2 linked regions of the Sus scrofa genome follow. The protein of the gene in region 2 interacts with the protein of the main gene of each other region in a pairwise test. Links are inferred from orthologs where the notes say so. Each region holds a gene or a part of one and is shown on either strand. Other genes may lie near its edges.

Region 1 (8,392 bases), on a different chromosome or scaffold from region 2:
TTGTGCCTGCGGTGGCGGTGGCGGTGGCTGCTGGGCGGGGTGCGGGTGGGGGTGGTGCTGATGGGGGTGGTAGCCTCCGTGCTGCAGTGGGGGTGGGTGCATGGCCATCACTGGGGGGGGCCCGTAGCCCTCGGCTCCTGCTTGCTTCCCCCCTGGCGGGGTACAGCCATCTGGGCTTGGGGTGTGCAGTGGAGGCGCACCCCCCACAGCGGAGGGGCCCTGGGCGGGGGCCGCCGGCGGAGGCGGCGGCGGTGGCTGCTGCTGCTGCTGCTGCTGTTGCTGCTGCGGCTGTGACTGCTGGGGCGGCTGTGGGGGCTGTGGCTGCTGCTGCTGGTACATGTAGTAGTTGTTAGAGGGCGGCATGTCCCCCAGGAGAGACGAGAAGCCTGTGGAGGAGGAGGAAGCGTCGCATTGTTCACAGAACAGGAATCCCACTGGGTTGAGATGGGAGGCCTCAGACAGAAAGCACGGACAGCAGAGGCAAAGGGTCACGTCCCCGTGGTCCCCTCCCTCCCCTTGCAAGTATGACAGATACGGGGGGCGGCGGGGGGGGTGCTTGACAGCATGACAAGGGCTGAAATTTTAGCTAGGAGGTCAGCATGCACCTTTTTATGCTATTTTTCAAGGGATTTTCATGTAGGTCTGGAATCACAGTTTCAAAAGAAATCAGACATCGGGTAAAATTTTAAAAGCAAATTATAAATAAAACAAAACCATAAGGAGTGCCTGTTGTGGCTCAGTGGATTAAGGACCCAACATGGTATCCATAGCATTGCCGAAAGCTGTGGCATAGGTCAAAGATGTGGCTCAGATGCAGTGCTGCTGAGGCTGTGATGTAAGCTGGCAGCTGCAGCTCCCATTCAGCCCCTAGCCTAGGAACTTCCATATGCTGCAGGTGCAGCTGTAAAAAAAGCAAAAAACAAAAAAACACAAACAAACCCAAAGGCATGGGCCTTTATTTCTCCTTTTCTTTTTAAAATTTTTTTTTTTTTTTTTTTAGGGCAGATGGAGGTTCCCAGGCTAGGGGTCAAATCAAAGCTAAAGCTGTCAGCCTACACCACAGCCACAGCAAGGCGGGATCTGAGTCGCATCTGCGACCCACACCACAGCTCATAGCAGCAACACCAGATTCTTAACCCACTGAGCAAAGTCAGGGATCGAACCTTCGTCCTCATGGATGCTAGTTGGGTTCACTAACCTCTGAGCCATGACGGGAACTCCTCTCCTTTTCCTTATTGTCCTACACTGTTCTGCAATTATAGCCTTCTTGTAGTCACTACAAAAATAAAAGCTTGGGAGATCCCTGGTGGCCCAGCAGGTTAAGGACCTGGTGTTGTCACTGCTGTAGCTCAGGTCACTGCTGTGGCTCAGGTTAGATCCCCAGTCTGGGAATTTCCACATTCTATGGGCAAAGCCAAAAAAAAGGGGGGGAGCCTGGGTGTGGAGTAGAGTCCAAATGGATAAATTTCTCAAACAGATCTGGCTGGGAAGAATCCAAGATGGAAACCGGGTTTTCAGCCTTAATTAAACCTAAGTGAACTCTCTGCTGCCCTCACTCAATTTGGTTTTTTCCTTTGCTTCTGAGAGCCCTTCAAGTTCTCCACTTCTCATCACCCAAATCACCTGAACCCGACTCATTTCTCAAGCAAATCCTGCAACCTTGGGACACAACTCTAGACAGGAACCCCCACAGATATACAAGAAAGGCAGGACAATACAAAGTTCTGGAGTTCCCCCTGTGGCTCAGTGGTTAACGAACTGACAGGTATCCATGAGGATGTGGGTTTGATTCCCAGCTCTGCTCAGTGGGTTAAGGATCCTGCGTTGCCATGAGCTGTGGTGTAGGTCACAGATGCAGCTCAGATCCCAAATTGCTATGGCTGTGGTGTAGGCTGGCAGCCACAGCTCTGCTGACTCAACCCCTAGCCTGGGAATCTCCATATGCCACAGGTGCGGCCCTAAAAAGACAAAAGACCAAAAAAATATATAAATTTCTCCCAAAGGGACTCCTAAGCACTTTTTATCATTCCATTCATCTCCTGCTGCCTCTCCATGGCCAGTGGACAGAATAAGGTCTGATGATTCACCCTGAAGTCTTTACTTCACCCCTACCTCCAAATTCTCTTTAAAATTTTTAAAAACATGGAGTTCCCATCATGGGGCAGTGAAAACGAATCTGACTAGGAACCATGAGGACAAGGGTTCGATCCCCAGCCTCCCTCAGTGGGTTAAGGATCTGGCATTGCTGTGAGCTCTGGTGTAGGTTGAAGACACGGCTCGGATCTGGTGTTGCCGTGGCTCTGTCGTAGGCCAGCGGCTACAGCTCTGACTTGACCCCTAGCCTGGGAACCTCCATATGCCGTGGGTGTGGCCCTAGAAAAGGCAAAAAGACAAAAAAATATATGTATAAATAAATGCAATTTTTTAAAAACAGGAATCGCAGAGAGCTGAACTAGATGCTCTCTCAAGGAGTCTCCCAAGAATGACTTCAAATCCTTCTCACATGTGAATTTGGGAAATTTGAGTATGGCCAAGATATAAACCGATATTCTGGAAGCATTATTTACTGTGTTAGGATAATGGAAAGAAAAATCTTTATCATTAAGGATGCATACCAAACTAGTATTTTCAGATAGAATGACATGCATTAAATTCCTCCATTTAAAAGCAAACCTGGGAGTTCCCGTCGTGGCGCAGTGGTTAACGAATCCGACTAGGAACCATGAGGTTGCAAGTTCGGTCCCTGCCCTCGCCCAGCGGGTTAAGGATCCAGCGTTGCCGTGAGCTGTGGTGTAGGTTGCAGACTCGGCTCGGATCCCGAGTTGCTGTGGCTCTGGCGTAGGCCGGTGGCTACAGCTCTGATTCAACCCCTAGCCTGGGAATCTCCATATGCCCGGGAGCGGCCCAAGAAATAGCAACAACAACAACAACAAAAAAAAAAAAAGACAAAAGACAAAAAAAAAAAAAAAAAGCAAACCTGGAACTACATTTCAATTAAAAAAGAAAAGGTGAAAAGGAAAAAAAAAGAAAGAAAGAAAAAGTGGGTGGGCACCTCTGGGGTTAAAATTAGGAGAAAACGAAAAGGTACATTGACTTCTTAATCTGTGTGTTTCTTGGATTAATTTTAAATTTAAAAAAAGAATATAAAATATTGGAGTTCCCGTCGTGGCGCAGTGGTTAACGAATCCACTAGGAACCATGAGGTTGCGGGTTCGGTCCCTGCCCTTGCTCAGTGGGTTAACGATCCGGCGTTGCCGTGAGTGTGGTGTAGGTTGCAGACGCGGCTCGGATCCCGCATTGCTGTGGCTCTGGCGTAGGCTAGTGGCTACAGCTCCGATTCGACCCCTAGCCTGGGAACCTCCATATGCCGTGGGAGCGGCCCCAAAGAAATAGCAAAAAGACAAAAAATAAATAAATAAATAAAAATAAAAAATTATGTTACTAAGAATTAAATAAATAAATAAACTGGGTGGCAAACAAAACAACCTTAATAAAATATTGGGAACTGTTAAAATTGGGCAATGGAAACATGAAGGTTTACTATACAATTTTCTCCATTTTGCACCGGTTTGAAATTGTTCCTCATAAAAATTAACATAAATACGTTAAAAAATAAAATTAAATGTTCTCACAATGAAACAGGGATTCTTAGGTAAAGCAAGTTACTGCTGCCCCTAGTGGCCATCCTCAGAATGACTTGCTGACAGCCATAAAATCATGGCCCTTGGAAGTTCCCATTGTGGCTCAGCAGTAAGGAAACTGGCTAGTATCCATGAGAATGCAGTTGGATTCCTGACCCCTCTCAGTGGGTTAAGGATATGACATTGCCCCGAGCGCAGTGTATATCACAGACATGGCTTGGATGTGGCATTGTTGTGGCTGTGGCATAGGCCAACACCTGCAGTTCCAATTCAGCCCCTAGTCTGGGAACTTGCATTTGCTGTGAGTTTGGCCCTTAAAAGAAAAAAAGAAGAAAAAAAAAATTACAGCCCTTAGTTTTAGAAGTGGGATTCCTTTAACTCACTTTCCGAAGCTAACGACCCAGCCTTCCTCTTGGGAAGCGAGAATTCTACCATTGAACCACCAATGCCTCCCAGCCTGCCTCTTGAAACAGAGAACTGTCCTTCAGAACTAAGCCAGAAGAGCTCCACTCCAAACCGTTTTGGCTCAAGACATGCTTCCCCTGACCAGTGATCAACCTCTCCCTGGGTTACAGGTAAGAAAGAAGGAGAGAAAGACTATCACCATCCATTCAAAAATACAAGGACATCCCCGATCCCCTCCCCATGCCAGACCCACCGTGTTGAGAGGAGGAGGAAGACTTCTCCAGCATAGATTTGTAGAGGTTTCGGAAGGACCAGCTTAGATCCTGAAAATTGATCTCTGAGTAGGAGAATTTGAAGTCATGGTTGGTGTTATACAGGGGAGGGGGACCCTCAGTGCTCTCTCGTCCTGGAGCCCCTGCTGCCACTGCCCCGCCATCCACAGATCCTGTGCCCTGCACAAAGAGGTAAGAAAGACTTGATCCGTGTCCTATACGAAGCGCCAAGACAGCTCTTTAATGGACCCCAAGCTCTCCTGCCTGTCCTTTTCATCCCCTCCCAGCTTCTCAGCGAAGGAGCTTCATTTTCTCCTCCTCTTTGCACTCATTCTTACCAGGATGTAGCCTTCTGTCCTTTTCCTGGGTTACGTCCTGCTCGTCTTTCCCTTCTCATAACCCTTTTGCCTCCCCTTCTTGTCTTGTCATCACTTTTTTTCTGATCTTTCTTAAAGTTCTGTTGCCTTTCTCTTTACTCTCTCCTTCTTTCCCAGTTTATCTGCCTGTTATATAGCACAGATATTCAGTACATAACTTTGAGCTGATACATACATCAATGTACTCAACTACCTATCCATCCACCCGTCCATCCCTATGCCCCCTGCCACCTCCAATTGCTACCTGGCTGTAGCTGGCAATAGAGGTGGGGCTCTGGAGTGACATCTGAGGATTCCCCTCGGGAGGCAGTGAGGCTTCTCCACTCCCTGGAATGCCTCCTCGTGGGCTCTTGCTTGCCTCTTGTTCCGGTGAGTCTTGGGGTAGCTGAGGGTTGTGAAAGAATAGAAACCTATAAGCAGGAGTTCCCACTATGGTGCAGTGGGTTAAGAATCTGACTGCAGTGGCTTAAGTCTCAGATCCCTGGCCCAGTGCAGTGAGTTAAAGGATCTGCAGCTTCGGCTGGGATTTAGTCCCTGGCCTAGGAACTTGCATATGGCATAAAAAAAAAAAAAAAAGAAGAAAGAAAGAAGGAAATCTGTCAGCTAGAATTCCCATCATGGCTCAGTGTTTAATGAGCCCAACTAGTATCCATGAGGACGTGGGTTTGATCCCTGGCCTTGCTCAGTGGGTTAAGGATTCGGCGTTGCCGTGAGCAGTGGTATAGGTCGCAGACACGGCTAGGATCCCGAATTGCTGTGGCTATGGCATAGGCTGGCAGCTGTCATTCTGATTAAACCCCTAGCCTGGGAACTGCCACATGCTGCGGGGTGTGGCCCTAAAAAGACAGAAAACCAAAAAAAAAAAAAAAAAAAGAAAGAAAGAAAAGAAAAGAAATTTCTAAGCAGACGTTAAATGTCCTCCCAAGTCCCATGGTTTCACCTCTACTGGTATTGGTCCTTTACCCCCAATTTAGGAAATAACTGAAAATACAGGAAGAGATGTAGAAGCTGGCTCAGAAATGCATCTCCCCACTGAGGTGGGAACTCACATCATCATCTGGAGGGTGTCTTCTCTTTCGGGAGATGTCGGGGCAGGTGTCAATTGTCCAGTAAGAGCCCTAAAAGAAAACCCATCCCCAGAGAGGAGAAATTCATTATAGACAGAAATTCCTACCTTTGGAAAAGTAGATATTTGAGTGGATTTTCATATAAAATAAGTTATATGGAGAAAAATGACAGGTGATTCCCACAGAATCCTGTGGCTACCAGCTCTTTTTGAGGACTAAATCTGTCCTAACCGCTAACTGAGAAGGTCAGAGGTACCCGCTGTGGTCCAAACACAGGCCTCGATCATTCCAGAGAACAACTGCATCCAGTTCAAAGAGCTGGAAATGCCCAGAGCAATCTTCCCTCCTTGCGATCTGAGGTAAAACTCTCTTCGACTTTAGCATCCACAGCTGAGAGACCAAGAGGATGAGCTGCCTCTTCTCCTCTTGGAAGATAAAAAAATCATAGAGAAATAATTTTCTATTTTCATATAGAGAAGTTCCTGGGAGTTCCCATTGTAGCTCAGCAGAAACGAACCCGACTAGTATCCATGAAGATGTGGGTTCCATCCCTGGCCTCGCTCTGTGAGTTAAGGATCTAGCATTGGCATGAGCTGTGGTGTAGGTCACAGACGAGGGTCGAATCTGGAGTTGCTGTGGCTGTGGTGTAGGCTGGCAGCTGCAGCTCCATTTCAACCCCTAGCCTGGGAACTTCCATATGCTGTACCTGCGGCCCAAAAAGACAAGAAAAGAAAAGGAAAGGAAAGGAAGGAAGGAAGGAAGGAAGGAAGGAAGGAAGGAAGGAAGGAAAGAAAGAAAAGAAAGAAAGAAAGAAAGAAAGAAAGAAAGAAAGAAAGAAAGAAAGAAAGAAAGAAAGAAAGAAGGAAGGAAAAGAACAGTTCCTTCAAAGGTTATTAGCTCCACCTTTTACACCTAGAAAGAGTGCCATGCACAAAAAAGGGGGCACATGGAGTTCCCGTTGAGATGCAGCAGAAACAAATCCGACTAGGAACCATGAGGTTGCAGGTTCGATCCCTGGCCTCAGTCATTTGTGATTGGGTTAAGGATCTGGCATTGCGGTGAGGTGTGGTGTAGGTCACAGAAACAGCTCAGATCTGGCATTGCTGTGGCTGTGGTGTAGGCTGGCAGCTATAGCTCCGGTTAGACCCCTGGCCTGGGAACCTCCATATGCCATGAGTGCAGCCCTCAAAACACACAAAAAAAGGGAGGGGGGGCACTGAAGTCAGCTTTTTCATAAATTTTTTTTTTTTTTTAATGCCACAGTCTTCCTTAGTCACTCATTCTAGTGTGGACCCACAAGCTTGAGTACCAAGCTTTTCCTCTGAAAAAATAAATAAAGCTGCTTGTCTAATTAACATGATTTCCTCTTCTGGGTAATTAAAACCATCACAGGACTCTGGGCTGTCAACTATTTCTCACTCCTTCCTGTTCCTCCCTTCCCCAATTACAGCAGAATCTCACCTTCCCAGGGTCATCCCGAGGTCTGGGCACCTTCCGGAAGCACTTGTTGAGAGAAAGGTTGTGCCGAATTGAATTCTGGGGAAAGCAGAGAAGCAAGTTAGATTTGAGCATCTTGCGAAGCAGAAAAGTTTCCAACAGGACACAAAGGGACCTGACACACACTAAAGTTCAAGCGTCAGGATACACAGAGCACCTCTTAAGGACAGGGATGGAGGAAATTACCTATCCGCAAGAGCAATGAGATAAGAAAAGGACAGCAATTAAACTCTTTTGTAATTGAGAGGCGAGCGGTAATGGGTATACATTTGACTACAAAGTGCTCCTAGAAAGCTGAGTGCACGGTTTTTCAATCTCTCCACCCAACTTACAACGGGTATATAAATGCCTCAGAATCACATCTGCCCGGACCTAAGTGTGCATCAACAGATGAGTGGATAAAGAAGATATGAGAGGAGTTCCCGTCGTGGCGCAGCGGTTAACGAATCCGACTAGGAACCATGAGGTTGCGGGTTCGGTCCCTGCCCTTGCTCAGTGGGTTAACGATCCGGCGTTGCTGTGAGCTGTGGTGTAGGTTGCAGACGCGGCTCGGATCCGCGTTGCTGTGGCTCTGGCGTAGGCCGGTGGCTACAGCTCCGATTCGACCCTAGCCTGGGAACCTCCATATGCCGCGGGAGCGGCCCAAGAAATAGCAACAACAACAACAACAACAACAACAAAAGACAAAAAGACAAAAAAAAAAAAAAAAAAAATTGTGAATCACTATAGTGTAGACCTGTAATTCATATGACATTGTATAGCAACTATACTTTAATTTAAAAGAAATCTGGAGTTCCCATTGTGGCTCAGCGGAAACAAATCTGACTAGCATCCACAAGGACGCAGGTTTGATCCCAAGCCTCACTCAGAGGCATAAGGATCCGGTGATGCCAGACTGTGTGGTTACAGACGCAGCTCAGATCTGGCGTTGCTATGGCTCTGACATAGGCCAGCAGCTACAGCTTCGATTAGACCCCTAGCTTGGGAACCTCCATATGCCGCAGGTGAGGCCCTAGAAAAAGGCAAAAAAAGCAAAATAAAATAAAATAAAATAAAGCTCCTGTTGTGGCTCATCAGTAACAAACTTTACTAGTATCCATGAGGATGCGCAGATTTGATTCTTGACCTTGCTC
Region 2 (7,154 bases):
AAGATATACTTTTCCCTGACAGCAGGGATATACTTTTCCCTGCCAGCAGCAACATTTAGAGAATTTAATAAAAGTAGAGCTATTAGACAGAAAACGATTCTCAAGCAAGGTTTCCCACAGTCTTCTTTCTCAGGGTGAAATGCCTCTGTGGTGGCCTCTTGCCATGGTTTACTATGGTGTGAACGCCAAAGGCTTCATGGCTTATTTTCTTATATAGATAGAGATATGAAGTCTGGTTCCACGCTTACAAACATTTGTCTGGAATTCGTATGCTTTCTGAAAGTTAAGGATGATTTAGGAGTCTGAGAAGTTGGAGAACTTTTCAAGCTGATTTGGCTTTTGAACCTTCTGCATCTCCATTTCCTGTTCATTAGGACAGATGCTGGCTGTCCTAGAGTAAGGAGATTTTATCCGGGGTCAGAAAATCTAAATGTGAGGAGTTCCCGTCATGGCGCAGTGGAAATGAATCCGACTAGGAACCATGAGATTTCAGGTTCAATCCCTGGCCTCACTCAGTGAGTTAAGGATCCTGTGTAGGTTGCAAACACGGCTCGGATCCCGTGTTGCTGTGGCTCTGGCGTAGGCTGGCAGCTACAGCTCCGATTAGACCCCTAGCCTGGGAATCTCCATATGCCGTGGATGTGGCCCTAAAAGGACAAAAGACAAAAAAAAAAAAAGAAAAGAAAATCTAAACCTGGGAAACCAGTGAATCAGTGACAAGCCTCCCTATTTGATAACATGATTGGAATATATCCCCTTAGTTGTCCTTTAAAATCTCAAAAGGTGATGCTATAGACATGAGAGTAAAGTTGTCAGATTGGTGGTAATAAATAACAGAGTATGAAATCATTCAGTGAATATTCGTGTGCCTGTACTGGTGCCGGGCATTTGGCTGTGGGGAAATACTGATGTATAAGGCCTGAATTCTACCTTGACATGGTTCTTCTCGTGGATAGATGGGGTGAGCATGTAATAAAAAAAAGTAATTCAAGAAAGAGAGTGATGTATGTCCTAAAAGATACAGATAAGGTGGTCTGGGAGTCAGGAAAAAAGAGTATGTAACTTCCAACTGATGAAATCACTTTGGAGCTAGGGGAGTTCCAGAGAAAGCTGTAAATTCTAATTGAAGGGGAGGTTATGTGTGGTCACTGTCCTAGGGAGCTGTTAATATTGGATTGAACTATATGAAATTGCTGTAGGTCAAAAAGAGTCACATATTGGCAGTTCCATATGATTTGACCCAATAGTACTTCGTTTTGTATCCAGGGGCTTCGTGATGGGGGGGGGGCGGAGGCTTCATTTGGTATGAGGTGAATAAGGAGATATGTGTGTTAGCCAAGTTTGAACAAAGGATGAGGCCAAAGTACCATCTAGGGCATAATACACACATGGAGTAGCAGTTGGAAGATAGCTTTACTTCTAGATGATGCTAAACTATCATTGTTAATGAACTATGTCTGAGACCAGGAAATAATCTACCTTCTTTGTGGCCCTCAGCTACACGGTGGGATCCTGCGGATATTTCCAGAAGGGAAATCATTCATAGCAGATGTGGAGCCCATTTTTGACAGACTCTTGTTCTTCTGGTCAGACCGCAGGAACCCACATGAAGTCCAGCCTTCCTATGCGACCAGGTAACAGCCAGGGCCACAATTGCCCTTAAGAAGCTTCTTGTACAAACCTCGGTTCCCAGAGAATTCTCTCAGCTTGTGTTCTGAGCATATGAGGGGCCAACCACCCCCCAAAGCTGACAGCAAACATATTTGAAGTCAATAAAAATTGCGGGAGAAACGCTAGACTCGTTAGTACACCAAACCTATCTTGAACATACTGTTTTCCATTAGGTGAGCATCTTGGATTCCAAATTCCCCAGAAAGTTTTTCTCTTCTCTCGCTTCTTCCCCACCCCTCCATTAAAAAAACTTAATGTTGAATTACTCCTAGGGAATGTTGACTGTCACAAATTAGGAATTTGGTCTGGTTCCCTCTAGAGAAGTTGCCAGTTCCAAGTGGAGAAAGAACCTTGAGGAAAAAAAAAAAAAAAAGAAATTTGTTCTGATTTTGTTTTCTTTTCACCCTTTCCTTAGCTTAAAATTTTACTGTACTCATCATGTCCTAATAGTTGGATTTTTAAAATTCCTTTTTTTAAAAAACATACTTTATCGAAGTATAGTTGATTTACAATGTTGTTAGTGAAATTCCTTTCTCTAGATCATGCATGGGAAGGTTTTCAGAGTAAATGAACAAGTTAGCATTGCTTAGTATTAATCTTAGAAGTCCTTGATATAATCTATTTTTTTTTTTTTAGGGCCACACCTGTGGCATATGGAAGTTTCCAGGCTAGGGGCTGAATCAGAGCCATGTCTGCGACCTACACCACAGCTTATGACAATGCCGGATTCTTAACCCACCGAGAAAGGTCAGGGATCAAACCCAAATCCTCATGGATACCAGTTGGGTTTGTTACTGCTGAGCAACAATAGAAACTCCATCTTCCATTCTGATATAATCTTTTTTTTTTTTTTTTTTTTTTTTTTTTTGCTTTTTAAGGCTCCACACGCAGCATATGGAAGTTCCCAGGCTAGGGGTCAAATTGGAGCTACAGCTGCTTGCCTACACCATAGCCATAGCAACGTCGGATCTGAGCCGCATCTGTGACCTACACCACAGCTTACGGCAACACCAGATCCTTAACCCACTGAGTGAGGCCAGGGATCAAACATGCATCCTCATGGATACTAGTTGGATTTGTTATGGCTAAGCCACAACGGGAACTCCAATGTAATCTTAATTTTGGATTCTGCCTCTCATTTGCCTTTGTTTTATGGACAAAGCTGTAAACCAGGTGGTATTGGAGCTCTGTGGGGTGTAGCTTGAATTGGGAATAGCAGTTGGGGGCAGGGAGGAGAGAGATTGGTTAGAAGGATAATGACTAAACCTTAACAAGCCTAATTAAATTAAAATCACAGGTGTAAAGTGCTTAAGGGTTATGTGTCTCCCTCCAGAAATCACGGATCTGAGCTCCACACAGAGCTGCATATTAAATGTCAAACTGGGATGTACCCTAGGTGAGCAGTTAAGTAATTCTACCACCAAAGCCTACTGTGGCTTATTTAATGGGACACAATAATTGGACCCTGTCATTTGTGCAGAATTCTCCAGTGTCTCCATGACCAGAGTCACAGGGGAAACATTAGCAAATGTTGATAAGAATCCCTTAGAAAAAAATCAAGTGCTATAGAAATTCCAGTAGCTGATAATAATGATAATAATAATAATAATAACAACAACAACAACAACAAATGAACCTTTTAAAAACTCAAGCATGAAATGACTCCTGTTATAGTCTATCCCATAGATGGGATAAAGCAAATGAATGGGATGCAGTAGAAAGCTTGAGGGCATTGTTATCATTGTGTCATTGGCTCAATGTGGAAAACTAAGAGAAAATAGCCCAGAATTGTAAGTGTCTTGTGATTTGGTAAGTTACTCTCCAAAGCTTCACTAGGATGTCATCTCTTCTTTGCTCTTCCCACCAACTTAAGTCTCTCAATCCTTAGCAGAATGACTCCTTTCCAGCATTTTTTGTGTAGATCATCTTGACCTGTTCCATTATTTGTTAAATCGCTTTTCTCCCCTGCTAGAGCCCAAGCTTCTTGAGAAAAAAGCTGATGTATTCACAGGACCATTTGAATTCCCATCGCTCAGGATAATGCCTGGCGCATACTCGGAATTCCTTACGTGTTTTATTACATTTAAATAGACTTGAAACCAGAGAAGTTTATTTTAAATTCAAATTGGGATGGAAAAAATTTAAACGTTGACTTTACAAATGACTGTTATGTGAAATTTATAGCAAGTATTTTTTATTTTTTGGTAGTGTTTTCAAGCCTCTTTTTAATATCTGCTTATCTTTCACAGATATGCCATGACTGTTTGGTACTTCGATGCTGAAGAGAGGGCCGAAGCCAAAAAGAAATTCAGGAATTTGACTAGTATGTGTTTGATAATTTTCTGTGATTTTTTGATCTAGTCAATCCATAACTTTTATTCAAGACTTTTATGTACATTCTAATATATTCTGTTTAGTCTCAGCTATAGCTTAGCTTCGTACATAATGGCATCTTGATGGGCCTAATTCTGTTCTTAGCTCTACTGAAAAATCAGAAAAAAAAAAAAAGCCACAAAGGACATCCCCTGTGAATGTCCACTGATGATGTGACAGTTAAAATAGATGGGAACTAGTTAACTTTTGATCATTAATGTTTGTCCATCAAACATAATGTTAAATTCTGACCCTGATTTTGGCACGTAATGAAAGAAATTCAATGGAACTTTAGCTATGATGGTTAATCTATTACATTGGTACAAGACCAGTGTGGTGACTCTGAATATAAAAACTGGGCTCTTATAATATAAATTGAATGTGACTTGACATCATTCCTGTTGCCTCTATCCAGTATTATAAGGCAGCATTTCTGAAAATATGTTATATTGAAACACAGGTTGGTTTGCAAGAAGATAAATTCCTGGCCACTAAATGTGGGAAATGTTACATATTGTATCTCTTTCTTGAAGAGTCACATTGCTCATGGGCATATTAATCAAGAAAATATTAATCTAAGAAATCGTACCATAAAGATGTATGTGACATTGCCTAACCCATGACCCATTTGGACTGTATGCCTAGCAAACACCAAAGAAAACAAGTTTTGCTAAACCCTTTCAGGAGGCACTGCATTCAGCTTTGTTCTGTAAGATGGGGAGCATTTACTGGAGGCTTTTGGGGTGACATTTGTGATACTAAACTCATCAGATCGAGCCTCTTACCCTCTTTGTTTTCTTTTCTGTTCCTAACCCAGGGAAAACCGAGCCTGCCCTCACTGAGGACTGACCCTGCTCTGAAATCCGCTGGCCTCATTCATCTTAGTAACAGTTCCTGAATTCTCTTTAAGAGTTGAGGAAGGCCTCTTCTGCAGGGACTCGGTGATGAGAACCCCTTACTATTGCTTGCATCATTCACATCCCTGTCTTGCGTATGGTACTTTGTGTTTTCTTGCCAAGACTGCATCCACCTCCAGACACTTTGCCAGACGAACTCATTTACTAACTCCAGAAATACCTGCAGACAACCTAGCTGGCCAGCGGTGTAATTGATAGATTTGGTGATCCTGGCTTTTGAAGCAAGAACCTGGAAGCATGAGCGAGGGCATGAATCTTACTTGCACTTTATGTACACTTCCTGATTTGAAAGGAGGAGGTTTGCAAAGAAATAAAATGGTGACAGATGCCACGGCGAGGCATCGCTGAAGCCTTAACAGCAGGAAACAGAAATGTGTGTCATCTGAACAATTTCCAGATGTTCTTAATCCAGGGCTGTTGGGGTTTCTGGAGAATTATCACAACCTAATGACATTATTACCTCTAGAAAGGGCTGCTGTCATAGTCATCAGTTTCTAAATCTCCAGGGACACTCCTTTTCCCTGGTCCTGCAACCTAGACTTTCTGCCTCTGCCCCATTTTGATGGAATATGTCAATGCCATTCATTTTCTAGTATCACTTCTTATTTGGAGAACCTAATTCCCTGGAGGCAAAAGTAGACATTAATTGTTTTGATTGCTTTGTTGAAAGGAAATTTGAATTTAAATCAAAGAGTGGGAGGGGGATCTTCCTGGTAGTTTGGAGCCAACAACCTCTGATAATGATGTCAAAAGACCTAATACATGTGCATCTTGAACAGTTTGAGACTGGAGATGGAGTTGGAACTGTGGACGTTCCTATTTTTCAGTTTTCCTTTTTAATGGCCTCACCCTTCTTTAATTTAACAAAGTAAGAAAATCACAAAAAAACTAGGGTGCTGAAATGTTAAAAGGAAATGGAAATAAAGCAAAAAATCCTGAAAAGCTGCTTGAGTTCTTCCACATTTTCTGTCCCTAGTAGCCTCTTCTCAGCAGACTGGACCCTCCAGATCCACTGTGGTTGGTAGTATGGCTGGAATTGTGGAATTTGCTAGAACTGTGGAAAGTTCTACTGCAGTGAACACAGATTCTGCTGCCTGCAGAATTCTGTATTGAGTCCATGAAGGTTACTCTTAGTTTCCAGTTCTATTTTCATATTTGTTAAATCCCTGTAATTTCTTGCTTGAAAACCCTATGCACATTAAGGGGCCAGAAACATTTTGTCACTTAACAGATGAATAGACTGTCCCAGAAGGAAGCATATTTTCGTGTGTACCTGGCTTTGGAAAATTTTCAGATAAGACTTGTCTTTTTTTTCTCACGAGTGCTCTATATTTTTTTTTCCTATAGTACTCATCACCTTCTAAGTTACTATGTAAATTACTTATTTATTATGTTCATTGTCTTGCATCCTTCCTCTAGAGTGTAAGCACAATGAAGACAGGGATTTTTGTATGTGTTCAATCAGTGGAATGTATTCCCAGCACCTAAAATAGTGCTTGGCACATAGTAAGAGCTCAGTAAATACTTGTTGAATAAACTCTTGCCTTAGTATTTTAATTGTTTGATTTATTTCCTCTATCTTGGGTAGGATGGGCTTGGTAGAATTTTTGCACATGTGTCTTTCTGTCATTGTTGACTTTAAGTTTAGGCTAAGAATTTTAGGAAGCTTTGATCATAGTGTCCTTTCATATTATCTGTTTGAAGAGGTCATTGGCAACTATGAATCTGAAGATTGAACAAAGAGGATTCTGCCCTTCTATGTCCTGGAACTACAGGAGTACGGAGAACTTCAGAGAGGATAGACCGCATTCTTCCTTTGGAACAATTTTGAAAACCTTCAACAAGAGAGAAAGAAAGAAGGTTGTTTACTAGGAGTTTTATATTCTGTAAAATGGTAGCTAAGTTTTTTCCATGATAACTATCATAGTGAGAATGATGATGATATTCTGAAAGAACATTGTTACAAAATATCATTACAATAGTATGTCTTGTATCTTTCACTTAGTCAATATTTTGAGTTACCCAAAGATCAGACCTCATATGCTTTGCCTTCCAGACAAAGGTCCTATAACCAAATAAACTATATATATATCAAATCAATTTTTAATGCATTGATTTTTTTCATGGCTGAATTTGAGTCCTGGAAAATACAACTAAGAGTGACTGCTTTTTTTCCTCCTCTCTTTGACAGCC

What was found.
Region 1: the proteins of EGLN3 (region 2) and FOXJ2 interact in binary tests that used the Homo sapiens proteins (3 or more experiments, as listed by UniProt). The two-hybrid records come from large-scale screens. The link is inferred for Sus scrofa from reciprocal best matches to the Homo sapiens genes EGLN3 and FOXJ2.

The regions. Positions count from the first base shown.
Region 1 is NC_010447.5:63,072,245-63,080,636, reverse strand, and holds part of FOXJ2 (forkhead box protein J2), read right to left. Parts: intron 7,299-8,392; coding exon 7,224-7,298; intron 5,814-7,223; coding exon 5,745-5,813; intron 5,081-5,744; coding exon 4,940-5,080; intron 4,499-4,939; coding exon 4,300-4,498; intron 387-4,299; coding exon 1-386.
Region 2 is NC_010449.5:65,826,476-65,833,629, forward strand, and holds the end of EGLN3 (egl nine homolog 3), read left to right. Parts: intron 1-1,497; coding exon 1,498-1,634; intron 1,635-3,920; coding exon 3,921-3,994; intron 3,995-4,861; coding exon 4,862-4,893; 3' UTR 4,894-7,061; downstream 7,062-7,154. UniProt on the Homo sapiens protein: Prolyl hydroxylase that mediates hydroxylation of proline residues in target proteins, such as PKM, TELO2, ATF4 and HIF1A. Target proteins are preferentially recognized via a LXXLAP motif.